Canis lupus familiaris: one gene and its partners. The main gene of each other region encodes a partner of the protein of the gene in region 2 in a complex. Links are inferred from orthologs where the notes say so. Each region holds a gene or a part of one and is shown on either strand. Other genes may lie near its edges. The genes, in order: BPTF, histone-binding protein RBBP7 and HDAC2.

Evidence for each region.
Region 1: histone-binding protein RBBP7 (region 2) and BPTF share a complex: the UniProt entries of both Homo sapiens proteins name them as parts of the BPFT-SMARCA1 complex. The link is inferred for Canis lupus familiaris from reciprocal best matches to the Homo sapiens genes RBBP7 and BPTF.
Region 3: histone-binding protein RBBP7 (region 2) and HDAC2 share a complex: the UniProt entries of both Homo sapiens proteins name them as parts of the core histone deacetylase (HDAC) complex. The link is inferred for Canis lupus familiaris from reciprocal best matches to the Homo sapiens genes RBBP7 and HDAC2.

The regions. Positions count from the first base shown.
Region 1 is NC_049230.1:14,275,652-14,285,619, reverse strand, and holds part of BPTF (nucleosome-remodeling factor subunit BPTF), read right to left. Parts: intron 9,359-9,968; coding exon 9,220-9,358; intron 6,225-9,219; coding exon 6,045-6,224; intron 4,963-6,044; coding exon 2,667-4,962; intron 1-2,666. UniProt on the Homo sapiens protein: Regulatory subunit of the ATP-dependent NURF-1 and NURF-5 ISWI chromatin remodeling complexes, which form ordered nucleosome arrays on chromatin and facilitate access to DNA during DNA-templated processes such as DNA replication, transcription, and repair.
Region 2 is NC_049260.1:13,086,286-13,096,353, forward strand, and holds the start of histone-binding protein RBBP7, read right to left. Parts: upstream 4,926-10,068; 5' UTR 4,911-4,925; coding exon 4,763-4,910; intron 4,484-4,762; coding exon 4,339-4,483; intron 4,333-4,338; exon of another isoform or gene 3,933-4,332; intron 3,722-3,932; exon of another isoform or gene 2,302-3,721; intron 1-2,301. UniProt on the Homo sapiens protein: Core histone-binding subunit that may target chromatin remodeling factors, histone acetyltransferases and histone deacetylases to their histone substrates in a manner that is regulated by nucleosomal DNA.
Region 3 is NC_049233.1:70,464,219-70,474,186, forward strand, and holds part of HDAC2 (histone deacetylase 2), read right to left. Parts: intron 9,362-9,968; coding exon 9,249-9,361; intron 8,209-9,248; coding exon 8,091-8,208; intron 6,125-8,090; coding exon 6,050-6,124; intron 5,449-6,049; coding exon 5,310-5,448; intron 2,711-5,309; coding exon 2,569-2,710; intron 1-2,568. UniProt on the Homo sapiens protein: Histone deacetylase that catalyzes the deacetylation of lysine residues on the N-terminal part of the core histones (H2A, H2B, H3 and H4).

The DNA of each region.
Region 1 (9,968 bases), on a different chromosome or scaffold from region 2:
TATCCTCAGGAGCTGTCAGAGAAGCATGAGGAGCACATGACTTGGCTCTGGGATGGGGATCAGAGCTTTGCTAGAGTCTCAGAGGACAAAGATTGTGGGAATAGCCAGGGGCACACACATGTTCAGAAGGAAAGTGTACAACAGTACACACCTCTTCCCAGAAACCACATCTGGTATGCTCTGACTGCAGGGCAGGGATGTGGAAGCGCAGCAAGAGACGAAGCTGCCATGAGAGAGGAGGGCAGAGGCAGAGTGTGCAGCACCAAATGGAAGGATAAAAGAAGAGCGTTAAAGGCAATCTGCATTAAGGCCTCTGAGACTTATCCAGAATAGGATGAGTTGTAAAGGGAAATACTTCTCAGAGACATGGTGCACAGGTGACAGACGCTCTCCTCCTCCCAGGCCTGCAGTTGTAGTTCACACTTTGAAGGCTTGCTCTGCTCCGTCAGAACATTCACAGGATAGATTTGGCTTTTAGGAGGATTATGTGGCCAGCACTGTGAGACAACTACTGGTTCAAAGTGATAATGAAACACAGAATCAGGGCCCAGGAAAAAGGAAGTAAGGGAATGGACAGTGTGGAGGAAAAGAGAGGCCTAATGGATTGACAAGACAAGTTTCACTTTTCACTACTGCTCAGCCTTAACATTAAATTAATAAATATCAAACATGCACCTCCTGGCATTCTTAGCTTCTACTCTAAGCATCAGACAGATTTTTTTATTTTCAAGTGTGAATATAAAAATGCATTTCACATGCATGGTTTTTATAGCAATACACTTTTAAAAAATGCATTCTAAATCAAGAATACTTTACATTATTTACCCATGCCCCTGTTAGATACAAGGGATTATGTTTCCCTCAACTTCAGCAGATTAAGACGTTAGCACGTATTTGACAGCAATATCTGTTTAAAATGTACAGGAAGGTATCTCCTTCCATTAAAAAATGAGAAATTAACTAAACAGATACCAACTGTGCCCACAGTGCATATTAAAACATAACAATTCAAGGCTCCTGAAACCCAGCCGTGCAGAAAAGGGCCCTGGGCAACACTTGATCGGAACTGGTTCAGAGAAAAGTGCTTCCCAGTTGAGCCTACCTTCCACTTCAGAAAAGGAAAGCGCAGAAAGGTTGGCCTCCACCACTGCCAGGTCATTTTAGTTAAAGTATTTGTACATAGTAACTTTTCCAGTGGGAAAGAAGTTACCTGCAGGACAGTCAAGGATACACTTTGGGACCGCTCTCAATGAAGAAAGCAGAAAAGTGCAGAGTAATCCTATAAATCCATGAACTGTAATGAAGAGTTCCTTGATTCCCTGCAGGATTCTGCAAATCCTTCATTGCAGGCCCTGCAGAGAAATTGTACTTTTCAGCTGTCTCTATTGAATGTGTAATGGAGTGATATTTTAATTCAAATCAAAAGATGAGTTATAAAAACCTTGGTCAAACCAATTGTGACTGGTCATATTAATAAGTTAACTCCTTTAGAGAGAGTACTCATTTACACTTTGTTTTGGTTTTGTTTTATAATACTGGCTAATTATAATATAAAAGAAATAAAAAAAAGGCATGGTTTTAACTTAAAAAAAAAAAAAAAAAACTGGAACCATAGTAAAGACACACAGAAACGAAGCTTAAAGTGAAATGGAATCTGTTCAGTCACTTGAAGTAACTGCAGCTTCCTATCAAAATCTAGCAGCCATCAAGACTGTTCCTGACTCACAAGCATGCCCCACAGAACTCTTATGTTTTCAGTGTTTATGTTCCTCCATCCTTTCGAGTTGTGAGGGTGAAAAGATAAAAAGACAGGACATGAAAAAGGACAAAGCAAGGACAGATATGTGAAATGTGATATAGCAGAATACAGTACTGGACTGGGGATTTAGGAAAACTGGGCACTATTCCTAACTCTGTCCGTCTGTGGCCAGAGGTAACTTATTACACATCTATAAAAGATAAGAATTTCTAAGATCCTTTCCCAAAATGAAACTACATGATCTTACAACTGCCAACACTATGTACTTATGACTCATCCCCAAAGCTTAATGCCCAGAAAATTTTAAATTAAGACTATTTCTGGGTTTTAAAAAATCCCTAAGGAATCTCAGAGACCTCTCCTCACATAAATAACAGAGAACTCCAAAACAAATGTTTATCATGCAAATAAATTATTTTAGGAAGATTTCCACATTATGATGAACTCGGTGTGATTCACAGGCATGTTTCCTATGTCTTATGTTTCTATGAATTACCTAATAGAAATAAAATACAAACATTCCAGAAAGTGGACTATCCAAGTCTCTTATTCTCATTCCCAAGGCAAACACATGGCAATAACTCAGAAAGTTAAACCACAAAACCAACTATATTTGACATGTTTCTTCTGTCTTGAGGAAAGTAAAACTCAATTTCATTTTAAAGATTTAGATCTTTTCAAGTCTCTTAACATTTTCCCCTAAAGTTTTACCCTAAGTAAACTTGAGTACCTCCCAGCCAGCCAAATTCAAGATTCTCTGTTATCTTATTTCCATTACTAACCTGGCTTATTAAATTTCTGCTTCCCTCTTATTATCTCATTTTTTTTCTGTAAAAAATGAGATATGCTTACTCAAAAATGCTTTTAAGACTTTCTCCCTTCCCCAAATACATTTTAAAGTACATACCTCCAAGTGATACCAAAGGTTGGTCTAGGAGAAGGATAAGGCCATATGTCCAAGGCAGGTTTTGCATTGTAATTAAAATAAGGGACTTCTCGGATTCCTCCTTTCCTGGCCAACTTTTTTAAGTCATCATTAGGTAAAACAAATATGCTCTTCTTGCTGCTCTTGGTGACAAACTTTCTATACGATGGCAGAGCTGTACCTGAACGAGTCTTCTTGGGTCTTGAAAATTTCATGAGTTTCACTTTATCTCTTGTGGAATACTCTTTGCTCACGGTCATAGATGTCACTAGAGTGCCCCCTGCAGTGGTCAGCGAATCTGTCACTGTTGTGGTGACCACAGTTTTGCTCTGCTCCTTCACAGAGATGATGTCCACACTGCTGCCTGTGGAGGGTGTGGATAGCTTTGTGACTGTTGTAGTGGTGGTTGTGACAGTGGACTTGGCACAATTTTCTGTGGAAGAGACCACAGTCTGCTTATCCCCTTTTGCTACTTTGATTACAGTTTTTGATTCTGTGGCCACCGTGGATGTCATGGTGGTGACTTCTGTGATAACTGTTTTTCTCTTAGACTCTCCGTTGATATTTTCATCTCTGTTGGTGGGCAGACCATTTTCATCAACGAAATCATTACTGAGGTTAGATTCCTCTCCAGAAGTAATAGGTGAGGGAGTAACTTTCTTAACTTCTGAGGTTTCAATTTCCATATCTTCTACCTGATTTGTTGAACTGTTTTCTGGACAAGACAGTGGAGGCATGGTCTCAGACTCTTTGGTTGATGGCAGGGTGTCTAGGCCATCTTGGTAGTCGCATGCAGCATCTGAAGATCTCAGTAAACGTGATTTTGTTTCCAAGTTGTTTTTTTCATTAAAATCTTCCATGATGACATCGCCATTCATGAATGGCTTTACAGCAGATTCTTTAACAGTCAATGACTTAATATCATTTTCAGGAATTATTTTATTTATATTATTAAGCTTTGATTCAAGATCACCACTTGCTACTTTACTCGCAGAGATTTCTTTCAAGGATTCCCCTTTTAAATATGTTTTGGGTTTATTATCTTTTCCATTTATTTGATAAGTACTTGCTTTCTGTCCTTTCTTTTCAGACTCTCTATTTTCATTATTCTTTCTGTCAGTGCTACTTTTTAGATTGATTTGATCAATACATTTATTAACTGATCTCTCCTCTAATTTCTGTTCTTGACTTGGCTTCCTACCATTTGCTTCAGTTACCTTACCCTGTGGTCTCTTATAGTTGCTAGTGGACTTATCTGGAACAAACTCACGTTTCAATGGTTCCAAGCCTTCAATACCTTGTTCTTGAGTTACAAATTGCTCAGAAAGACTTTCATTGCTATTCTGAACAATCATATCTTCTTCACTGCTGTCCTGAATAGACATAGTATCAGAACTATTTTCCAAAGTGCTGTTATATTCAGAGATACATCCTAGTTTTCCTTCAAAGTCTACTGCTTTTGACAGAGATGGGGGATCTCTATCATCAGTACTTTTAGGTACTGATGGAAGTGAAGGGCTCTGGGAAGGAGAAACAATGGTGTCATTATCCTCCTGTATGAGTGTTTTTTTGTTCTTATAGATCAAAGTACCAATTCCATCTGCACTGGCTAGTTTGGAGTCATCAATGAGAAAGTCACTTCCTCTTGTTTTAACCTTATTAAGTTCCTGGCCTTGACTGGTAGGTTGAGAGAGACTCTCATTTATGTCATTTCCAACAGAATTCTGTTTCTGACAGTTTGTCTCTGGGCTCTGAATGGAGATGTCATCTAACATTTGCTCTTTTGGATAAAGTCTGTTTGTTGTATGATCAGGATCATTGATTCTAAGAATTGAGGAATCGCTTTGTGAACATCCTCGAATCACATCTTCAGTTTTACCATTACTTGTGTTAGGGCTTTGTTCTTGTCTAAGCGAGTCACTTTGACACCCTTCTTTTGCTTTTGTTATTACTGATGATTCAGAAAGGCTTTTCAAAGAACTTGTACACGTCTTCCCTATACCCTTAATTCCACCCTCCAACTTCATTTTCTCAAGGCGCTGTTTTTCTTCCAGTGTAAACTGTTTAACTCTCCTTTCAAGAAGTCCATCTAGTTTGGATGATTTAATTTTCTTTTTATAACTAGTCCTTAGATGGAAGCCCTCACTGACATTGACCACATCTACTTGAGAACCTTCCTGACAGTTTATATGCGGCTCTGTTTTCACATCATCATCTATCTCCATTGGTTCTTCCTTAAAGGGTTTCTCATTGTCAGAATCTAAAATTTCTTGTACATCTGTGAAACAAACACATTTATGTAAGTGCTAACTTTTAGTCTCAAATGTGGAATTCACAATATTTTTATTTTAAAAACCACCAATGTTTATTTTCATTTCACTCACGGGGCTTCAGTGTAAATATACATATTTGAAAGCTCCTGATACATGATTAAGATAGGTCAATGGACAGGGCTAAACTTTATAAAAGGTTAAAAAACAGACATTTTGTAAATATTTAAATACTCTGATTCTTAGTATCTGAAGTTGGAATGTTAAAAGAAAAATTACTTAGCATGTGACAGTTACCCCATACTCCAGTACCTTCATGGAAAATTTTATGTAAGATATTTCATAGTCATAAAATATCTTAAGGCTTATACATTATCTAGCTTACCTAGTTTTTAAAGAATGACTTTTCACAAAAGACAGTATAAGTTCCTCAGAAGGCTGGACACAGAGTTATTAGCTCATGACCTGGGATTCCACTACTAGGTCTTTACCCAAGAGGGATGAAAACATATGTCTACATAAGAACTTGTACAAGGATGTCCTTATCAGTATTCATAATAGCCAAAAAGTAGAAACAACCCAAAAGTCCATCAATTGATGAATGGATAAACAAAATGTGGCACGTCCATACAATGGACTATTATTCAGAACTAAAAAGGAATGATAAAATGCTGACATATGCTATAACATGGGTGAATCCTGAAAACATTACACCAAGTCACAAAAGACCATGTATTACGTGATTCCATTCATACAGAATATCCAAAATAGGGCCAATCCATAGAGACAGTAAGTAGACTAGTAGGCTGGGGGGATTTAGGGAGGATTAGAAACTGGGTACTAAGGAGTATGAAGTTTATTTTTGGGGTGGTGAAAATGTTCTAAAATGGACTGTGGTGACAGCTGAACAGCTCTGTGAAATACTAAAAACCACTGTACATTCTAAATGGGTTAGTTATATAGTAAATGAGCTGTGATTCAATAAAGCTGCTATTAAAGAAACATAAGGCAGTACCTCTCCTGCTGTGCGAACCAGATCCATTACAATCTTATCACCCCCAGGCTGCCCTCCACACCGGACTCTCCTTACCTTGGTCCTTCTTCTCAGTAATCTTGGAAACGTCCATTTCACTTTGGTCTGCCCCTTTTGCAGCATCTGAATCTTTTACCTCGCCTTTCTCAGAATCAGGCTCTGTTTTTATTTTTTTTGGACTCCGTGGACTTTTTCGTCTATCTGATTCATCCATATTTTCATCCACATTATTTTTGGCTAAAAAGAATTGAGTGTGTGTATATATATATAATTATAGGTATTCTGAACATTAGCAATCTGCTTTAACAAATCTAGTTCAGTGGAAATTATATTTCTAGCAATCTATACTGTTTTCTATTAAAAAAATATAAAACCTGAAGATAGTATATACTTTCCTAACATGCTCAACTGACCTAAAGCATAAGAGGAATGAGCACATTTTAGATGTACTTCAGGATCTTTCATATATGACACTATTTCAGCTGCTCAATGACTCCACAAAGTCTACATCAGTGTTTCTAACATACTTTATATTAAAGAACCATATTAGGAAAATAAATACTTAAGTATTTTTCACCCAGAGTCCATGGATAGACTTCAAGGCTATCTAAGAGCCAGTGAAATTAATTACAAAGGTTTGTTTGTATACTTTTTTTTTTCTGGGTAGGGAATCACTGTATTTATCATAGATTAAAAGAGACTTCAGAGAAATAACCAAATGCAATGTTTGGCCTTGTCTGGACCTGATTTACTACCAACATTAAAAGGGCATCTCTGGCACAACTGGGGTAACTAGAATAGTAACTGAGAATCTCAAGATGGACATGTTAAATATTGTTAGTGCGTTGAATGGTAATGGCATAATTTATGGAATAACCACTCCAATCAGAGATATATGCTGAACTGGTAGATAACATAATTTCTGGAATTTGCTCTAAATACATAGGGGGGGAAAAAAACTCCAGAAAAAAAGTAGATTATTACAACTAATAGGAGAATGACAGAAAGATGATGCTTTTTTACTTTCGTGTAGTTTCAAATTTTCCGTAAGGTAAAAAAAAAAAAAAATCAAGCCCATGATACAGAACTATTGTCCAGGTGAATTTTCTTGGGCCTTACAGGCATTTTCTACCTTTTATTATTCTCTTCACTTGATCCCAAATATTCCAAGGACTTAGCAATGTGTACCTACTTCTTATTTAAACAAATGACTCCTTCCAGAAAGATCTAGCTGAGGGAAGGGAAAAGAGTGCAAAAAACTTGGTATCTGTCAAGACAGTAGGATACTGGGGAGAGAAGAAACGAATCATAGAAAACAGTGATAGGATGTGTCTGGACCCCACAAGTAACAAAAGGACAAAAAGTAAACTGATACTCTCCTTATTCAATGCTTCTTTAGTTATTTCAGAACAACTGGGCAATATTTTTTCAATGATTTCAAGTTTCTCAAAAAGAGCTTTATATAATAGTAGTTCCACCTAAAAGTTTTAAGAACCCAGATGCTTAAAATAGACAATTATAAAATACTTGGGATGTCTTCTCCATTAAAGATCTTCTAGACATAAAGACAATTAATATCCTTTGTTAATCTTGCACATCAGTACCTTTATTGACACTTGTAAACTAATAAGCTAAGGCATTCAGTCTGAGTTAGAATGGAGGTTAGAAATAAGTGACGCAGTCAAACAAGCTGAACACTCTAGTCTTCTGATGCTAAGTCAAGGTTCCCTGAAACGCATTTCTGTTTTCTCCAGCACATCTGTGCCTCTGTCATATGATCAGATTAGGTTAATCATTATTATAGGGACCAATAGTTCTGAGATTATAAACTGGTGGTTACGAATACTAATGCCTTCACTGTAATTCTTATTCTATACTAACACATGCATTGCTACCACTGGAGAGGAAAAGGGCTCAAAAGATGTTGTAAGACCAACTTGGTACCTGACTGGATAAAGGCCCAGAATTTGGACAATAGAAACAGTATGCTAAGGAAAGTGGATATGAGATAAATCTGCAAAAACCTAAATATTTTGCTTATTGATAATCTGGATTTTATTACACAAGACAAAATAAGTCAGATATAATTAAACAAAAGCTCTCTATAATTCTATGTGCTATGTGGGTAGCTGGAGCAACAAAATGGCAATAAAAAATGTTAATCTTTTAGAATTTATTATAGTGGACATTTGGCTTGAATATAATCAGATCACAATAATAAAATTTAATATTGAATAGTTCTAGTTGGCAAATAGAACAATTCACTGAGCATCTATTATGTGCAAGACATTCCTAGTCCCTATAAATTCCAGTGACAGTTATGAAATAATAAGTATTTTTCCATTAAAAAGGTAATCCAAAATGATAACTTTATCACATCAATAATTTCAAATATCTCAACCAGTCCAGGATTCAGCAGAACCATTCACGAAGAAGCCAAATTAGTTAGCTAGGTATGTACACAGTACTCACTATAGCGTAGACTTCATAGGAAAGAACACATCACACCATACGTTAGCAAATTACACTGCACAGTGAGCAGAACTGCTTTTGAAAATAACCAGGTAACAAAAAAGTGATGGCAATGTAGAGTGCAAAAAAGGACAGTGGGAGGGACAGTGGGAGCGAGGAGACAGATTCCAGAGTTCTATCTGTGTGAACTGTACATAACTTCACATCTTCATGAAATAATCTACTCATGGAATGTGAGTTTCAAAACAGATGGTGTCTTAATAGGGCAGTTCCCCTCTAGAATTCTGTGACTCTAAATATATTAGTTGTTAGCGAGTAGCACAAATGGAGTTAATATCTCCCTCATTTATGTGGAAGTGTTTACAGAAGTCTCTATCACCTCCTTTCTGGTTTTGTAATGTGCTACAACATCAAGATTACCAGATAGGTGGTTCCTTAGGAAGTCAAGTAATACTGAATTTAAGATTGTAGAAAAACAATTAGGTGCTGAGGCCTTTTTTCTTTTTCTTTTTTTTAGGAAGTTCTATTCTATCATCTTTCTTTAATTGAAATCCTAGTTATAAATATCCTGAAAAAAAAAGTAATTTAAAGTATTTGAGCTTCTTATTAATAAATAAGCTACATCGGTAGTTTTGCATGTTCTATTAAAAATTCCAGAAAAATACTTTTATCCAAAAATATGGTCAATGCACTACAAATTTATAAGAAATAGTACAAAATCAGAAATTATGATATAGAAAAAATAACTTCAATTACTTACTTCCTTCTAATGATTTTCTGTAATTCACATTAGTATTGCCTGGCAACTTAGGAACAAACCTATAAACATGAGTTTTACTAATCCAGCTCCAACCACCATATCCTGTTACTCTGTATTCCTCTCCTTTTTGTTTCCAAACCTGGTATAAATGAAAACATTCTGATTAAACAAGAATGAGAATGCTTATAAAGCACATGTGGTTTTATACATTTTTACCAAACAAGAAAAATAGGCAAATAAGTTTACCAGTCAATTTTATTTTCAAGAGGAATCAAAGATTTATGAAAAACTGAACACAGCTGACCCTTGAACATGGGGGTTTGTTGACTCCTCCCCACGTAGTCAAAAATCCATGTGTAACTTTTAATTCCCTCCAAATTTAACTCCCAATAGCCTACTGTTGGCCAAAGTCTTACCAATAACATAAACAGTCGATTAACACAGATTTTGTATGCTATACATATTTATATATTGCATTCTTTACAATAGAGGAGGCTAGCGAGAAGAAAATGTTATTAAGAAAATCATAAGGAAGCAGGTGCTTGGGTGGTACAGTCAGTTAAGCATCTGACTCTTAGTTCCTGTTCAGGTCATGATCTCAGGGTCGTGAGATTGAGCCCCATTGTTGGGCTCCATGCTGAGAGAAGAGTCTGCTTAAGACTCTCTCAGCCCCTCCACCCCCATCCTTCTCTAAAATAAATAAATCTTTAAACAAAAGAAAAAGAAAATCATAAGGAAGGAAAATACAC
Region 2 (10,068 bases):
ATCACACCGAGCCAATAGCAGACACTAAACCCAGGGATCCCAACTTATTTTTAAATGGAAAAATAACAGAAAATTAGGCTCTAAGCAATGTAACTGAGGAGGACTTAGACAAAATGAAATCTTTGTAGCTCAAAATGAAAGGGAACTTAAACACATCTCATTAGAACCATTTGAAAATTTAAAAAAAAAAAAAAAAAACCACTTGAAAAGGGGGCAGCCCGGGTGGCTCAGGGGTTTAGCGCCACCTTCAGTCCAGGGCCTGATCCTGGAGACTAGGGGTCGAGTCCCACGTCAGGCTCCCTGCATGGAGCCTGCTTCTCCCTCTGCCTGTGTCTCTGCCTCTCTGTCTCATAAATAAATAGAATCTTAAAAAAAAAAAAAAAAGAAAAAGGAATGCTTGAGAGAAAGGAAGCACCACAAAGCAAGGTTAAGGCTAACATAAAAGGAAGAAGTATTTTATTAGGGGGTTAAACAGAAAAAAATAGGACCTTTCTAAGAAGCCCGGTCCCAACATGGATGGAGGATCTGAAAAATTCCTTGACTCTAAAATTCAATTCAGGTATCCCCCGTCACAATAATCATGTAAGGATTTTTTTTTCTTTTTTACTGGCAATCCTTTCAAGTCCATCATTAAAATACAAACTTATTTTCCTGAACCAACAATATTACAGTATTTTCCTCCAATGCTGAATGCACCTAAAGCTGCAGGAGCACTAATGTTAAAAGACCTTGTCCATTTTTCAGTGCCAGCATCCTTTGATCAATCACTTAAGACTCCACGGCTAAGAAAGTCACCTAACAATCACAGATTATCACAAGATTATTCTCAGTAGCATTGTCTTAGTGGAAAAAGACTGATGACAACCTTTAAATATCTATTAATAAAGAACTGGTGGGACACCTGGGTGGCTCAGCGGTTGAGTGTCCACCTTTGGCTCAGGGTGTGATCCTGGAGTCCCGGGATCGAGTCCCACATCGGGTTCCCTGCATGGAGTATGCTTGTCCCTCTGCCTAGGTCTCTGCCTCTCTCATGAATAAATAAAATCTTTTTAAAAAATCTCTAAAAAATTTTAAAAAGAACTGGTGATATACATAATAGTATATTCATAAAGGGAATTCTATGGAGCCCTTAAAGCAAAAGAGCATATCTAAGCATGCTGATAGGAAGTCTCCAACATAAACTACAAACTGTAAAGTCAAGTGAGTAACTTGCTATCATTAAAAAAAGATTTAGGGGAGGGGTGCCTAGGTGGCTCAGTCAGTTAAGTGTTTAATTCTTGGTTTCCGCTCAGGTCATGATCTCATGGTCCTGAGATCAAGCCCTGTGTCAAGCTCTGCACTCAGCAGGGAATCTGCTTAAGTTTCTCTCTCTCCCTTGCCCTCTGCCCCTCCCCCTGCTCATGCACAACCAGTTCACCCAAAGGGGGGGAGGGGGGAAGAGAGAGAGAGAGAGATGGAGGGTAGGTGTGTGTAATGTGTATATACACTTATTTCTGGCAGGATCAGTTAAAAAAGCCAGCCAAAAATGACTCAACTCTGGGTAATAAACCAGGAGAACAGGGAACATGGAAGGGAGACTTATTATTTTCTCTATGTACTTTGTACCATCTGAATTTGAAGGATTACAAAGGTTTCTAAGTACAGAATAAGTTAGTCTCAAGATGTTTAAGAAATTATTTAATAAAAAATATGGAATAATGGAATTACAGATTAGAAATACCTAAATAAAAAATTTTTAAGATTTTATTTATTCATGATAGAGAAAGAGAGAGAGAGAGAGAGAGAGGCAGAGACACAAGCAGAGGGAGAAACAGGCTCCATGCCAGGAGCCCGACGCGGGACTCGATCCCGGGACTCCAGGATCGCACCCTGGGCCAGAGGCAGGCATTAAACCGCCAAGCCACCCAGGGATTCCCCCCTAAATAAAAATTTTTACAAGGCAAATCCACCATGTGGACAATTACCTAATTTAGTTTAAGGACAACAGTTCAGAAAGTGCAAGTAATTATTGGGAGGTATGCTCTATGTAGTATGTAGGTAAAAGCCTCATGAGGTTGACTAGCATCACATTCCTCAAAGACCCTGGGAATAAGAGTAGCCAACATCTCCGGTGTTCCGTATAGTAACAAAACACAATCACAGTCCCTTCATACTCCAAGTAGAATCCTGCAAAAGTACCACACAGCCATCCTCAACATCCAAGAATGCAGGCTGGCTGGCATTTTCTTGCATTCCCAGAGCAACTGCACATCCCACAACCAGATCCCACTTCTTTGTATGCAAAGAACACCACGGAATACATCATTTAAAGTATTTTTTGTTAAGTTCTTAAGTGTTAACATAAAAGCAGTATTGGCGGGGGGCTGGCGGGCTCAGTAGGTGGAACATGTGACTCTTGATCTCAGGGCTGTAAATCTGAGCTCCACGTTGGGTGTAGAGATTACTTAAAAATAAAAATCTTTTCAAAAGCAGTATCCGGGCTAAGAACATACACATTTAACATCCTTAAAATTGTTACACAAAACACAGATAACATTTTCAGAAGACTTGAATAAGCAGTTTTCACTGGAATCCAAATGGAGAAACACAGTTACTACAGTCTAATTATTTCTGAATACAAAGGGGGAGAAAATCAGCATCAGTCACCACTTATTGCGGACTTCTTCTGTGCCAGCACTTTAAAAGTGCATGATCTTATTTCATTTCCTCAAAAGTAGGCAGTCAGAAGCACCAGCACCTCCACTTACAGATCAGACAGCTTGGGAATAGAGACTGACCAATGTGCCCTAATTTAGCTATTAAGAAGCAGGCGGCAGGATTCAAACTCAGGTTTCTAACCTTAGAGTCCTAAACACCTCCGCTGTGTTCTGCTGGTAAGGTAGATCAAAAAGATCCAAAATAATGTAAATTAAGCTGTTAAAGGTTTTAATTTACTTAACAGGAGTGCACAAAGAATCAAAAGTACATGGTGCTCAAAGGAGAACCTGAATACCCTTAAGTATTTGATGTTCAAAATTGTTATGTCAGTGTTTTGAAGTCTGTTTTTTATTTCTTGGCTATTCTTATCACATCTGTGTATTTACACTGATTTTGGGGAATCCTAATAAAAGCCTCTACCTATATGGAAGACAATGTCTGCATATGGAGAATTCGGCCATTAAAGGAGTAACCTCATAGAAAATTAACTTGCTCTTATTTTCAGAAATTGTCTCAAAATCCCCTTCCTACGTTAGTTTTGTTAATCCTCATTAAAAATATATGTTCACAATACCCAAATTAAATACTTTTAAAGTACACAGCCAAGTTCCTACTAGAAAAAGTGCAAGCGCTTAAGAAAGTCTAATAATACAGGAGTTGCCTCAACTCTGGGGTACCCGGTTTGGGTTCAAAATCCCACTCCACCACTTGCTGGATGATCCTGGGTATTTTAACACCCCCACCCCAGTTTCCACAACAGTAAGACAAAGATGATAAAGAATAATCATAGTATACTTTTTCATAGTATAATTCTGAATATTAAACAACTGGACACAAAACTGTTGAGATGTGCCAGGCCCTATTTTAAGTGTTCAATAATACCAGCAATTATTACCAGAGAAATTTTAGAAACGGCTGAAAAGAACCAACAGCAACCTCCAAGTGTATTCCACACTATCAGCTAGTAACGTCTTTTCTTCAGTGAACTACTGCTAAATTCTTTTTTCCCTTTGTCAATTAAAACCTATTCATATAGGGATCCCTGGGTGGCGCAGTGGTTTGGCGCCTGCCTTTGGCCCGGGGCGCGATCCTGGAGACCCGGGATCGAATCCCATATCGGGCTCCTGGTGCATGGAGCCTGCTTCTCCCTCTGCCTGTGTCTCTGCCTCTCTCTCTCTCTCTGTGTGACTATCATAAATAAATTAAAAAAAAAAAAAAAAAAAAAAAAAAAAAACCTATTCATATAGTGGTGGCTGGTTACATGGATGTGCTCCCTTCGTAAAAATCCATCCAGCCATATGCTTATGATTTGTGCATTTTTCTGTACGTGTGCTCTTTTTCAATAAAGTTTTAAAGAAATCCATTAGTCTGGGTCCCCAAAATGCTGCTCTATATTTAATCCCAAGAACTGTTAAATTCGTTAGATGCTCCCCACAAATATCATTAATCGCACTTTGTCCCCACGCTTACATATCAAAAACCATCCCATAAATCACTTGTTTTGAAAATAAAAATCACCTGCCACCTCATGCAAGGGCTAAATTGATTACACGCTCATGTTCTATGTGTAAAATGCCAAAACTAGGAATTTCGGGATAATAGTCAAATTTATGCAAAGTAAAAGTTGCCAGAAACCCTTACTTAGTCACTTCAGGAAGCCACTGAACGGTAAGACTCGGCCACTGAAGAGCATGGGTCATAACCAGGTCATACAGAAACGGTGTATTCTTCTTCCAGATTTTATATTCTTCATTGATGACACGCTCCTCCACAGTATCTTCAAACACTGAAATTTGGAGAAATCCCACACAATTAAGTGGCTGAGAGAAATCGAGTTAGAATCTGTACACAGATAGTGGAGGTCACCTCGAGATGGCCACACCTAATCTACTCCTCAGCTTTACGTTTAATTTGGACACGAACTAACTGCTCTTCCAGAACGTGAGGAGAATATTAACACCAGGAAGCTTATTTTTTGCACTTAGAAATCGATACTGCTTGCGTATACAGAATTGGGCAATTACACAGACGACGATTTTGTTTCAGCAGTTACAGCTGTTCGCACCTGTTCTAAGATGACGACCCATCTGTGCAGGGGCTCCACGACCCACCCCGGGAGACGAATCCACGTGTAGCAGAAACCCCTCGGCCCGCTCCCTCCATCCCCCACCAGGAGCGGCCTCCGCTCCCACGAAGCCCGCGTCAGCAGCCATAGGCCGGCGTGTGCCAGAATCCCCCGGACAAGGGCCGCGACCCCGAAGCGGTCGACGCGCGCGCGTGGAAGGAGCAGCCGTGTCCGCTTTCCGGTGGCGGAGGCCGCCTCCGCCCGAGAGCCAAGGGCGCCGGAGGGAGCGCCGCCGCCAGAGGGGGGGGAGGGGAGCGGGGGGGGGCAGAGGGGGAAGGGGGCCCAACCCGCGGCCCCGCGCCCGGCTCCGGAAGTGCTCGGAGCCCTCCGCGCCGCGGTCCCGTCCCGCTGTAGGCCCCTCGAGGCGCGCGCCTAGCCTCGCGCCCGGCCCCGCCCCCTGCTCCTCACGCCAATTCGCGCCTTTCGCCGGCGCGTGCCGCGGCCTCGCGCGCCCGCCGCCCCCCGCGGTCCCGGCGCGCGCCGCCCCGCAGGGCCTCTTACTCTCTTTACTCGCCATCTTGCGTCGGGTCGTTCGCCCCTCGCCGCCGCCTCGGACTCCCCTCGCTAGCCAACAGCAGCCCAACCGCAGGCGTTCCTGCCTCGCCCAGGCGCGTCACACACTTCTAGCTCTCGAAGCGTGAGCTCCGTCTTACGGCCTGGGTGCTCCCCAAACGCTGCGTCCTTCTCTCCTGCCTCCTCCCCGCTCGCGGGTACCGAGGTCTGAGGCGCTCTTCTCTCTCTCTCCAAACTTGGAACGAGACTTTTCAACCCGCGCCTCCCAGCCCGCCCAGGCAGCTGAGCGCAGGCGCATCCGCCCTGGGAAAAGTGAGAGGCGGTGGAGAGGCGGGCCTGGGAGCCAACGGCTCGGTTGTTTCAACCAATGAGGTGCGGCACGCAGGTTTCACGCGGCATTTGTGGGCGGGCTTCTGGGGGTGGGCGGGGCGTTCCGCGGCAGGAAGTTGGCGAGGCGCAGGCGCGAGGGCTCGCCCAGCGCTCCCAGGGCCGGGCGCGGGGGCGGATGGGGGCGCGCGGGGGTGGGGCGGATGGGGGCGCGGCGTGCGGGCTGCGCGGGGGCTGTGAGCCCCGGGGCCGCGGGGCGTGGCTGCTTGCAGCGGCCGTGGCGGTGGGGTGGGAGGGGGGCAGGGAGGTTGACGCGGCTTAGCCAAGCAAAATCTCAGAGCGAGAGGAAAATGGTTTCTAGTCTCGAGAGATTACTGTGCCCTCAACGTCTCCCGGATAATCACGGGCATGCAATTCTGTGTACCCTGAAAGGCTTCCCTCTAGTCGACTGGCTTTTCCCGGGGTCCGGTCGAGCTGAGGTGGGGTTCGTTGCAGGCTGAGGAAACCTTTTACAGAGGCCGCGGGCGTTTTTTGACTGCTAAAGCCGAGGGGCCTCCCTGTTAGGCTAAACTTGCGGCCTGTTACTGGCACAAGGCCTCCGACGGCCCGAAGCTGACTTGAATTACACTGTTTGTTTGCACATTTGGGTCCTTAAAATGATTTGCGGCCTCTCGAACTGCAGAGAATTTTGTCCCTACGTTCTTGTCTCCGTGCTGGCCCCTGCTGAGTCATTCTCGTCACCCGTGGGGGTCCCAGGGCGACCCCACTCCGCGATGGCTTAGCTGGGGACAGCTGCCCTATGCGGACCCGGGATGGCTTGCTTGAGCCCTGCTTGCCTTGAAACTTGGTAGCCCCTGAGGAGTGCGTGGGGGTGAGGAGAAAGTGAGCTGCAAGGCCAGGAGGGCTGTGAGGGCCAGAGGGTACCGGGTGGGAGGACGTGGCCGAGATGCCTACGCACAAAGAGAACCTCAGTGTACATCCAGATTAGGAGAGAGGCTCCCTCTGCAAAAGCACCCGAGAACATTTGGTACCTTGATATTTTCCAAGTGCTTTCACAAGAGTGACCATGGTGATCCTCAAACGAAATTGTTCAGTTGCCGCTGTGATGCCCACTTTTCCGATCAGAAAACAAACTCAGCCCTTACTCTACTTGGTGGCAAAACCAGTAATATTACCTTATATAGAAATTTACTGTCTGATGTGTCTGCTTTACAGTAGGTTACAGTTCATTATTGTAACGCTCTGCCTTCATGTTAGGCCCAGGAATCTTGTTAGGGACTAAAGCTGTGGCGGGGCAGGGCAGTGGGGGTCTCGGCTGCAGAGGAAGGAGGGTTGGAAGGGTGTTTAAATAGCACAGCTCTCATATTCTAGAACACTGGGTGGCAAACGTTTTTCTGATGGGGGCCAGAGAGTAAATATTTTAGGTGATGGGAACAACTACTCAGCTTTGCCACCTTACAGTGAGAAAGCAACCTCAGACAATATGGATGAGCCTGGCTGTACTACAATAAAACTTTATAATAGACACTGAAATTTCATATAAATAATTTTCACTGAATTTTCATATAAATTTCACGTGCCACAAAATAATCTGATTTGTTTTTCAACTACTTTAAAATAGAAAAAACATTTTTATCTCGTGGGTCATACAAAAACTGGTGGTGATTATATACCCAGAGGACTCTAGTTTGACCACCTTGTTCTAGAATAATTGCCTTAATGGCTTTGCTTCAGCGGGAACATCCTCATGTGCATGGCAAGAGAAGGCTTGGCAGACAGGTTTGAGGCTCCCTTTAATTCATTTTATTTATATTTGATGGGTATGCATGATTTCCAAAACCTATTACATGTGTAAAGGGTTGAAAGAAATCTTCCCAGACATTATGGCTTTATAATCTTTATATTGTCCACCTCACTGAGGGTCAGAGGTGGAAGTGTGAAGCAGATGTTTTGGGAGTTTCTGAAAATATGCAGGCACTGTCATATACTTCATCCAAAAGTATCATTACAACATATTTTATTAGCTTTTAGGTAGAATCTGCCGATCCTTTTCTCTAATTTTTTTGGTCTTTTTTTTTTTTTTTTTTTCTAATCAGGTACTTTTTTGCCTCCAGAAGGTAATACATTTTCCTTCAAATTGCTAAACTTTTCGATTTTACTTTTGTTGTTCACCCCAACGATTTAGCTCTGGTCCCAATCTTTTCTCCCACTTTCTCTGTGTTTTTGTCTCTCTTGCACTCGGGTAGGTCTGCTAAATGAGTAAGACACCAGCAGGTGCATGCATAAAGAGTCCTGTTTAGGTACCTTTCTCTAAGACTGTTTACATCAAAGTTACTATATTATTACCCACCACTTTGTCGATGGGACTGTGTTTTACAGGCTAGTATACTTGTATTATAAACCGAAAGAGGGACGCCTGGGTGGCTTAGTGGTGAGCATCTGCCTTTGGCTCAGGGTGTGATCCCAGGGTCCTGGGATGGAGTCCGCATCAGGCTGCCTGTGGGGAGCCTGCGTCTCTCTCTGCCTGTGTCTCTGCCTCTCTCTTTCTGTGTCTCATGAATAAATAAGTAAAATCTTTAAAAAATAAAAAAAAATTAAAAAAAAACTGAAACAAGTTACACTGAACTCTGCTGACCTTTAATATGTGTGACACAGTCTGGTATTTTATTTCATTTAAAAAATATGCAGATTACCCTGTACATTGCATTTTTGCAATCACACTTAGTTACAGCTTAAAGTTTGGAAAACACAGACAGCTAGGTTATTTTTGAAGCAGCTGGCCAGTCCCTGACTATCTTTTACAGAATAGCAACATAACGGGGCGCCTGTGTGGCTCAATCAGGTAAGTGCCTGGTTTCAGCTCCAGCACAATCTTGAGTCCTGGGATCAAGCCCCTGACTTCAGCTCCAGCCACGATCTGGGATCCTGGGTTGGAGCCTCACCACTGAGGGAGGAGACTGCTTATCCTTCTGTCCTTCCTGGTGCTCATGCTCCCTCACCCATCTCTCTCTCAAGTGAATACATAAAATCTTTTAAAAAGTAGCAACATGCCCTCATCTCTCCTCCCCCACAGCTAATTGCATTCTATCCCCTTTACTCCCATTTTCTTTTTTCTCATAGTGCTTTTCACCACCTGACAAATGCTTGTTCATAAGCTTTTCTCCCTACACTAAAATGGAAGTTACAGGATTTTTGTTCTGTTATATCCCCAGTTCCTGGACCAGTGCTTACCACATGAGGAAGCTCAGGCAAAGAATGGTGGTTTCTTGCCAAGGTCACATAGCTAGTGAGTGTTAGACTTGGAATTTGAATTCGATCAGTCTTATATTAAGACAGCAAAAGTGACCTGTGTGATAGATTGAACTGTTTACCAAAAGAAATGAGAGAGGGAAATAATACACAGACATTCTGTATTTGCAAGCAGCCCTTACTCGTTTTTGGTGAAAATCTTAGATGTTCAAAAAAATTTTAGAGTACCTACTCTGTGCCATGCATTGTTCCGGGAACTCAAGATACCTGGAATGAACAAGACATATAGGGCCCCAACTCTGTACATTCCTTTATTGTCTGTACATACATTCCTTCCATTTTATACGTTCTTTTATTTTTTATTTTCTTATTAAAAGCAGAGCTCATCGCAGAAAAATCTGAAAATTACAGGAAACAGAAAGGAGCATAAAGAATACCAATTTTGTTTCTGACCAAATTATTTTCATCCAAATTGTTAGGAGTGGAGGAAGCTACAGAAAACATTAATAGCTGTTGTCTCTTGGTTACTGGTATTAAGAATGATGGTCATCTTTTTATTCATACATTGCTCTATTTTAAAAAATACTCCGGTGGACAGACATTACTCTTCTAAGCAGAAAAAACCCCCACATACTTTAGAAAAAAGTATAAAGTATGGTAGAAGAGTAATGCACCCAAATGAATTGTCTTGGTGTGATAGAATTCTTTTTTTTTTAAAGATTTTATTTATTTATTCATGAGAGACAGAGGCAGAGACACAGGCAGAGGGAGAAGCAGGCTCCCTGCAGGGAGCCTGATGTGGGACCAGATCCTGGGAGTCCGGGATCACAACCTGAGCCAAAGGCAGACCTCAACCACTGAGCCACCCAGGTGCCCAGGTGCGATAGAATTCTAAGTCATTTCTCTTAAAATATTGTTTAATGCACTTGTGAAAGACGGAGTTGTAGGAAAATTATTGTAAAGTAGAAAATACTGTACTTGTTTGAACTTGTACTTTGTTTTCATTTACTATTGTGATATTAGGTAGAGTGAAGTCATTGTTTTACCCTTATATGTGTGTTAATATTTAACCTTTGTGGGCGTCCCTCTGGATTTCTGAAAGACCAACTTATCCCGTTGTGCTTACTGTTAATGTTAAGCAACATGAGCTCTGTATT
Region 3 (9,968 bases), on a different chromosome or scaffold from region 2:
GCGTGTAAATCTACCTATATGCGCTCACACACACACAGAATTCCTAGAAGAAATGGTACAATACAAAAACTGCTACAAAGTAAGTTCTTTTTCTAAAAAAACATATTTTATTTATTTATTTGAGATAGAGCAAGAGAGAATGTACTGGGTGGGGGAGGAGGAGTAGGAGAGAAAGAAAGAGAAGCAGGCTTCCCGCAGAGCAGGGAGCCCGACACGGGGCTTGACCCTAGGACCCCAGGATCATGACCTGAGCCTAAGGCAGAAGCTTAACCAACTAGGCCACTCAGGTGCCCCCAAACAGTTCTTTAACTGCAACACGAAAGGACTGGTGGTGGCTGATTCTTACATTCTTAAATTAAGTCTCAATATATGTGAATCTTTAGGATTACTAATGCTTTTTTACAAGTCTCCCCTTCTCTCTCATATAATGATTGAGTTTGATTCATTTTTAAAAAGCATAGTTTAGGGACGCCTGGGTGGCTCAGCGGCTGAGCCTCTGCCTTCAGCTCAGGACATGACCTCGGGGTCCTGGGATCGAGTCCCACGTCGGGCTCCCTGCATGGAGCCTGCTTCTCCCTCTGCCTGGGTCTCTGCCTCTCTCTGTGTCTCTCATGAATAAATAAATAAAATCTTAAAAAAAAAAAAAAAGCATAGTTTATCCTTCAACATTAGAGTTATGATCCAAATTCCAATGAAGAAAAAGGAAGTGGAATTACATATCTCCCGCAACAATTTTTCTTGAAGAAACCTAAAATGTTTAACTAAATACAAACCATTTAGATGTTGATAAACTAAAGCACCGTGAATCCGTAAAATTCTGCACTTTAAAAAACTAAACTCCTGGGACATACTTTGACAGTAAGATTTCAGAATACAGAAAGTTGGTCAGCACTTCTCACTCTAACCAAAACCTGGCGCCTCAGCTGCTCCCTTGTTGCACCAAGCTTTCTCCCTTCCATTTCTTATTCCTCAACTGCTGCTTTACCATATCTTTTTCTTCTACTTAAAGACTCCCAATCTAATCGATACAAGCAATGTTAACAATGATCTAAGCTCAGAGTAGCTTTCTTTTCTAATTTAGAATGAACCGGAAGGTAGAAAAGGGAATGTTTATTAACATCCAGAGATACACACAAGTTTTATGAAATTCCAAATAGAACTCCATGCATAATAGTTTTGATTTCCTTATAAAATTTTAGGGACACCTTTATAATAACTAAAGAGAAAATATGCTGACATTTCCCATAGTAAGTACAAAATCTTTAGTGAATAAAAGAAATATTGAAAGTCATTCTATAATCTTTAAAAGATACCCACTCTCCAATATGTTCCAACAACTTTAAACAATAAGAACACTGTCAGAAATTAAAACAGAGGCCATGTTTTGCCATTTTTGATTATACTTAAAAGACTTAGTTTAAGCTTAAAACTGCGAAGGTTTTTGCTGAATTTCTACCGGGTGCAACGGCTACAGACAAAGGAATTCTACTGGTTAGGGTAGTGAGTGGTTCTCAAAGTTTAGTGCGCAGAATCAGTTCCCGAGGCCTGACAGGATGTCCCCAGGAGATGCCGATTCCGCTTGCCTAAGGCTCATACTCTAAGAATCACTGGTATGTAAGTTAGGGCCAAGCGGAGAAACGCACTGACGGAGCTAGCAGGCATGGAACTGAATATACAAATTTGCAATTTTAGAAGCCACATAATTTAAACTCCAACAAATTAAAATTAAATGACTGACCTTCTACTCATTTTAAGATTTCACCATCATGACTGTTACTGAAAGAGCACCATCTTGTGGTCAAATAAAGAAAGCACATATTTGAAAAATAAGGCTACTCTTCAAAATATTAGTTGCTAAAATAAGCTGTAATACATACCACAGATCTGAAAAATAACCTTAATTAGAAAACTCTGAACTAATATTGAATGCCACGATAAGAGAAATTTCCTATACAATCCAGGATGAATTTAAAAAGTCATTTAAATCTTTGAATAAATTTTCAACATGCAGGTAGGTTGGGTCAAGAAAAGCCAGTGAAGCAAAACTACCGGAGGAACTTTGTACAAACAAGATGTGACCAGTGGTTTTATACTCATAAAATAAAAGAGCACTAAATGGGGGGGGGGGAAAGATTAAAGTAAGACCTATTAAAGCAAGACTAATCATAAAAGGGGGGGGGGGTAAATACAAGAACCTAAAATAAAATAGACTTAGTTCTATTTTCATCCACCAATCTTTACAATCAACAGCAATGCTGGCTACTGTGAAGTAGGTTTTGAAGATCCAAATAAACATCAAGAAAACTGCTTCTGTGCTTCAAGGATGTTCAAAAATAATTATTCGACCAAAGAAAATGGCTGAGCAAAAGTCCTCTCAGTTCTCACTAAATTTTTGCCTATAGTCAACAAAAGTGAATTCTAGCAAATGTTATATAGCATATAAAATGACTCAATTCTGCATATAAATTTTAAATGACTCTAGAACAGTATTAGTTTAGATATAGGATTATTATCTTCTTCAGTTCTAATATTTATATCATATTTATTCAGATAGAAATTCAGTCTTACCCTCAAGTCTCCTGTTCCAGGAAAGTACTCCCCATATTTATGGAATGATACAGTCATTACACGATCTGTTGTGTAAAAAGCTTCTTCAACACCATCACCATGATGGATATCAATATCAATATATAACACTCTCTGATGATACCTGAAAATAAAGCATCGGTTAAGTTTTTTTTAAAAGGTTTTAAATGAGAACCAGGTTCTTCTGAAATGGGTTCAGAAATATTTTCGAGCTCTTCCATTTCAGAATGTTGAATCCTTTCTCTTAATTTCCAGCCTAAGAGACCATTCAAACATCTAAAGTTACAAGACTGAGCCTCCGATCTTCAAATCCTCTCTTTAGCCCCAATCTAGGTAAGAAAAATGTACTTACTCTCTGTGAAATCTGTCCAGTTCTATATGTTCTAGAAACATACTACCAGTTCCTATAATATTAACAACTGAAGATTATACTGCACTTACAGGATGGATGATTACTTTAAAACGTCTAATAAATTTTCAGTATTATAAAACAGTGGTTGGCAATCTACAGTTCATAGCCCAAATCTGACCAATGGAGTCTTTTTGTAAACCTTGAGATTAAAACAGTTTTTACATTTTTAAATCACTGAAAAATAAAATTAGAAGAATATTTCGTATGTGACAATTTAGGGAAATTCAAATTCCAATGTCCATAAATAACGTGTTACTAAAACACAGCCATGCTTATTTGATTATAAATGATCTATGGCTTCTTTTGTGCTTGCAACTGCAAGTAGTAGTTGTGACAGAAACCATCTGGTACTCTCGTCCCTTCACGGTGCTGCCTGGAGCACTAAACACTGCAGCGGTGCAGTTACAACTCAAATACATTTTAAGGCCATGTAGATCACCATACCGTGACATCCCATTACCAATACATACCCATATCAAAACAAAAGGAAATGAATTCTGAATTTCATCCTTCTATGGCATAATAATGGAGTATTATTTTGTTATTGAATAAAATGGCAGAGCATTGCATGTTTATTATAGAAGGATACCACCACTATGCTAAAAGAAAATAAACAAACTGATATCAGACTAAGGACCCTGATAATATCCTCAACTCACAGGAAAGCACCATTCAGTAAAGAAAAAGAAAAAAGCACGGGCCACCTGAGTGGCTCAGTGGTTGGGTGTCTGCCTTGGGCTCACGGTGTCACCCCGGGGTCCCGGGATCGAGTCCCACACTGGGGTCCCCGCAGGGAGCCTGCTTCTCCCTCTCCCTATGTCTCTGCCCCTCTCATGAATAAATAAAATCTTTTTAAAGCAGAATGTCTCATTATAGATTTTCTTCACAAAAATAAGAGGTGTTAGCCAAGTAAATTTCTGAGTGGTTCATAAGTGGCTTATCAACAGCCAATTAAATCATGATAGATCACGTCAGTTAAAGAAATATGTCTAGAGGGATCCCTGGGTGGCGCAGCGGTTTGGCGCCTGCCTTTGGCTCAGGGCGCGATCCTGGAGACCCGGGATCGAATCCCACATCGGGCTCCCTGCATGGAGCCTGCTTTTCCCTCTGCCTGTGTCGCTGCCCCTCTCTCTCTCTCTCTCTCTGAGATTATCATGAATAAATAAATAAAATCTTAAAAAAAAAAAAGAAATATGTCTAGACAAATTAGGTTAAGCTTGTTTAAGGGTCTACGCAGTCAAGAACCACTGCTCAGAGACGGAGACACAGGAACCACACCAACAGTTGGTTGAATTAAAAACCAAGCAAATAGGGGATCCCTGGGTGGCTCAGCAGTTTAGCGCCTGCCTTGGGTACAGGGCGTGATCCTGGAGACCGGGGATCAAGACCCGCATCGGGCTCTCTGCATGGAGCCTGCTTCTCCCTCTGCCTGTGAATCTGTCTATCATGAATAAATAAATAAAACCTTAAAAAAAAAAAAAACAAGCAAATAATTTCAAGTGGTTTTCCTTGGCTCTCAAGGAGTTAACTGAAACATTTTAGCTGTTTATCTGAGGCGGTAATACCAAATTTTACACTAAGAAATTAGCCTCAAAAAAAAAAAAAAGAAATTAGCCTCAATAAACAATATGCATGGAATAACTACAGGCAAGAATATTTTTTGATACTGACAAAAAACTCCTTCACTACAATCTGAAGTGGAATCTATTAAGACATGTTACAACTGATAATGGTTAAAAAAAAAGAGAAACACCTTTGTAAATTTCCAAATTCTAATGTTCCTCTATAGATCTCTCCTTCAAACTGCAGTCGGGGATCACTGTAAATCTAACTCCTTTAGTAATTTAGAGATAATTATACCCATTAGTAAAGAACAAAGCCCCATTCCATGTGGAAGCTAGGCAATTAGCTAGATTCATCAATAAACAAATTTCCTTTAACACAAGTTTCAAATTTCTGCCTTCAAAAGTTAAAACTTAGAAAATGTTAGAGCATAAACTTCCAGAGTCATGTCATCTTTCATTAGGTGAAACTGTAACTCAAATCTAAAACACTGAACGACTCTTAGGTTTTTTTAAAAGGGTATATTTAATATGAGTTTTATAGACATGTATGTGCATTTCTCATGCTTATTAATTCAAGGAATGGGAAAATGTTCTGTATTTCTACATTGGTTTGTAACGAATCCATAGAAAACTCAGCACTGAACTATTTTTCACCCACCATTTCCTTGATATTTTTTAAGTCATAGATTTATATCATTTTAATTAAAACTTTTCCATAAGGAAAATATCAACATAAATTAACTTACTTTAGTAATTCAAGGATGGCAAGTACAATATCATTAACATAACAGAATCCTGATGCTTCTGATTTCTTAGCATGATGTAATCCTCCAGCCCAGTTAACAGCCATATCAGTTTGTTGTCGGTTTAACTTCACAGCACCAGCTAAAAAAAATACAGGGTAGACTTCAAAAGTGTTTAAAATAAAAAAATTAATATAACAAGACAAAAGCCCTATAGCAAAGAGTATGCCACGTATAAGTAAGAGTTTAAAATTACAAAAAGGATCATTGTCTAGGACACTAACAACAGTTTCTCCTTAGGTAAGTATTATCCTATAGCGGTGATCTGATTAAATAAGAGTATATATGGAAAGTGGTAGCCAGAAGAGAGGTAGAGGAGAGAAATCTCTAAGTGAAAATACAAAAGTAAGGAACCTAAAAAAAGTTCAAGTCATTACGATCATAAAACATGGGGTTTATTTTTAAAGAAAGAAATCATTACTTTATTTCGTTTTTAAAAAGTGAGCTCTGTGCCCAACATGAGACTTGAATTCACGACTCCCAAATTGAGGCATAAGCTCTACCACTGAGCCAGCCAGGTGCCCCAAAGATGGGGATTTCTAAAGACAACTGTACTAAAAACATACAGATCACTTTTTAGTATCAAAATCCATCATCACTAAAACGCTTTGCTTTAAACAGGTAAACCAGGAAGATTAATACCAAGTTTAAATCAATCTTTAGATCTGAATCAGGACACTTACCAACTGAGCCACCCGTTGAGAGCTGGCAAAACTCAAAGAGTCCATCAAACACTGGACAGTCTTCTCCAACATTAACTGTGAAAGACGGATTTCAGTTACAATCCATTCTACGAATTAATGAAGTTTTTTCTTACAAAAACTATTCCTTACAAATATTTTTATATGATGTAATCACGGATCACACATCACAGTATAAATCTAAAGTTTGCTATTTAAAAATATAATTAATCATTTTATCCAAGGTAATTTCAAGGGTTATATGTAAAACATCACCACCAAATCCTACCAGGATAATTTGTAGAAAATCTCAGCTCTATTATCAGAAGATCAATAGCCACCAAAATATAAAAGGTATTTGAATTATTTAAATTAAAACACGCACTTAAATATTAGGCATTTCTCCTAAAACATACAACAAATTAATCAAGGTTCTAAAAAACTTAAAAAACTTTAATTCCTTTATGATTTACTTTTTCTAAAACTCCTTAAATGCACAGAACATCCATAACTTTGAAATATATTTTAGTGAGTACTAAAAAGACAAAGCAGCTGGCTGCCTACCCAATCTTAAAGGATGGTAAGAATTAACTAGGTTCGGAGCAGCCAAGACATAGAAGGAAGGGGTAAAGCACAAGGAAACAACACGGGTACATGACACATTGCAATATATTTAGTTCCTCAGTACTGACAGGATTAAAGGGACATATTATTTATGTACATGACCCATTCGCAGCCTCTTCCCACCCCAATTATAACCTCTTCAAAAATAAGGGTAATTATTTTACATAGCTTTGTATACCTTTAGTTTATTAGCATGATAATGAACAGCTTTTAGTTTCTTACTATTTAAATATAATCATAATCTTAATATAATTCAGTATTATGTATTAAATCAATCCTGTTAATTCATTTGCCCTATCTACACAGGACTTTTAATCTAAGCCTGAACCTGTATCCAAAAAAAAGGTATAAAAAATATGTTCTACATGCATTATAGCATTTTATTGAGTAAATGAAATAATCTAAGGTAGAAATGGGTACAAAGTTCTATGAATGTATAACTTATCAAGCCACTACACCTAATTTAGTATCTGAAATTGTTCTTCTCAAAAAAAATCACTGAAGTGATTTTAAAATCATTGTTATTTAAACATTTTACAGCAAATATTGCTTTTTTTTAAAAGATTTTATTTATTTATTCATGAGAGAACAGAACTGCTGATGAGAATGAACTTCAGTATCATGCTTTAAAAAAAAAAACTGTTTCAATCATTTTAAGACATTTCTCATTCCACTTTCAAGCCAGGCAACCGCTAATAACAAAACACGTATCTATAAAAGAGAGTATCACGTAGAAGAAAATCAAAATCAAAATCACGTAGAAGAAGCTTCACTAACAAATGGAACAGATTATGTATTAACAATCCAGATTAACTAAAACACACAAAGAGAGGTAAGAGATCCGTACATACACCAAGCTAAGGCCAATCCAAGTAGACTTTTTTTTTTTTAAAAAGGCAGGGAAGTAAGGTCTCCCCACCAATACCCATCATCCCCAAGGTAACATGGGACCAAAACAAAGACTAGAGGAACATCCAGACAGCTCTTGGGCCGTCTGGCAGATGGATATCTTAATTATCCTTATTCCCAAGAGCTCAGGCTTCGGGTAGATTTTGTTTTGGGTTTTACGATTTTCTTTCCTTCTTTCTGGGAGAGAAAGTGCTCAGGTCCGCGTGAGGGCGCACCCACAAGCAGGGGGAGAGAGGGACCTGACTGTGCTGGGTGCGGAGGCCGACGCAAGCCTCGAGCTCAGCATCAGTGAGTCAACTGAGCTACCCAGGCGCCTGGTTTTTTTTGTTGTTTTTTTTAAAGCAGTTTTAGTATTTTTAATTTTTACATTGACTTTTCAAACCAGTAATTAACTAAGGAAGTATCTTCCTCAGGCGGAACACCTACATGTGGATATTCTAATGATATGCTTCTAGAAAATACTCACTGATCCTTAGTAAGATTAACATAGACTTTTAACATAGAAACGTACATCTCTGCATCTGCTTACTATACTCAGACATGTTATCTGGTCTTATTGAACGTAGAAATTTGATGTACTCATCACTGTGGTATTTTGTCATTTCTTCAGCAGTGGCTTTGTGGGGCCTCTGTGAAGAAAAACAAATGTCAGAATGGTGGAGCCACAACTGGTTACATCAGAGTCATCAAACACCACGTACACAATTTCCCCTAACAATCCTCTCAGAAGAACTAGCTCTGCCAGAAAATAAATTCCAAAGTGAATCCAAATTTATACGTGTATTTCTTAGAAATGAGTAATCAATTCCAAAGCTAATTCCTACTCCTTTAAAGCCATTAGACAGGTCTGACCCCAATTATACATTCCTTTTATTGCAGTGGAAATGGGTCAATGCTTATAAAGTTGAATCTGTTCAGGAACTCTCACTTTCCATCATAAACCGTCTGCTCTGTATCAAGTGAGACTGAGACTCAAGCTCAATTTTAAGTCTTTGTTCACAATCTCTTCCTTTCCTTTGCCTATCCTAATTATCCTTATTCCCAAGAGCTCAATTTCATTTTTAACACACTTTTCCCAGGAGGCTTCCAGAAAGTATATAATCCAACCCCTCCTTTCCTGTAAATATTTGTTATCTGAAAAAAGTAACTCATATATACTCAATACTAGTAACTGTTTCAAGTCTTTCTTTTCTCCCCAAACAGGCAAGAACTGTGTCTTGCATTTGTTTACATATACTTCCACATTAGTGCAAAAGCACTTAAGGTAGGTGTATCCTAAATGTTAGCTGTACTGTACACATCCACTAATACACTGCTCCATATGTCAGTAAGTATTTGTAGAATTTCCTACATAATTCTTCTGTAATAGTCAACTCTTCAGCAGCACAGCCAAGTAAACCACTATTGCAACAAAGATATTTAGTTTGCTAAACTGAGTTGTTGGCCAAAATGTGAAAAGGTGGGATATGAGAAACTTTTGAAAAATGGTCGAGTAAGAGGGTTAAAAACCATTCCCACACTGTTTTCTCTGAAGATTAAAACAAAAAGAGTTTGTTTTCTTCCAGAGTTTGTTTTCATCTGCTAAACGCCATTTAAGGGGATTAATAATTTCAAAGTAGATTAAAAAAAAAAAAAACAACACTGAATATTTACCAAAAGGTATACTTACGTATATTTCCATTTTTCTATATAAGCCATAATTTAGCAGCAAGTTATGGGTCATGCGGATTCTATGAGGTTTCATGGGATGACCCTGTCCATAATAGTAATTTCCAATATCACCTAAAATAGAAAAAAGACAACTGAATAGAGAATCTTTACAGTCTAAATTTATGTGTGTTCATCATCACAAGGCACTTACCACCTAATCAAGATTTAAAACTTGAAATGATCTCAGATCTTTCAATTTTCAAACTGTACTAGAAAGCCAAGATACTGGGTTACGTTAACTGTGGTAACTTCATTAATACACGTTTATTAGAGATTAAAAGCAAGCAAGCTTTTCAGATTTTCAGTTTGCCAAAATTTATTTAGGATTAGCCCTAATAAAATACTTATAACAGTAGTTTTAGTTACTTAAATTTGAAAATTAATTTTTTGTATTTATGGACAAATTCAGACGCCTAAAGCAAATTCTGAGTTTCATTGTTATTTAAACATTTTACAGCAAATATTGCTTTTTTTTTAAAAGATTTTATTTATTTATTCATGAGAGAGAGAGAGAGAGAGGCAGAGACACAGGCAGAGGGAGAAGCAGGCTCCACGCAGGAAGCCTGACGTGGGTCGCGATCCGGGGTCTCCAGGATCACACCCTGGGTTGAAGGCAGGCGCTAAACCGCTGAGCCACCTGGGCTGCCCGCAAATATTGCTTCTTGATATTTACTGGCAT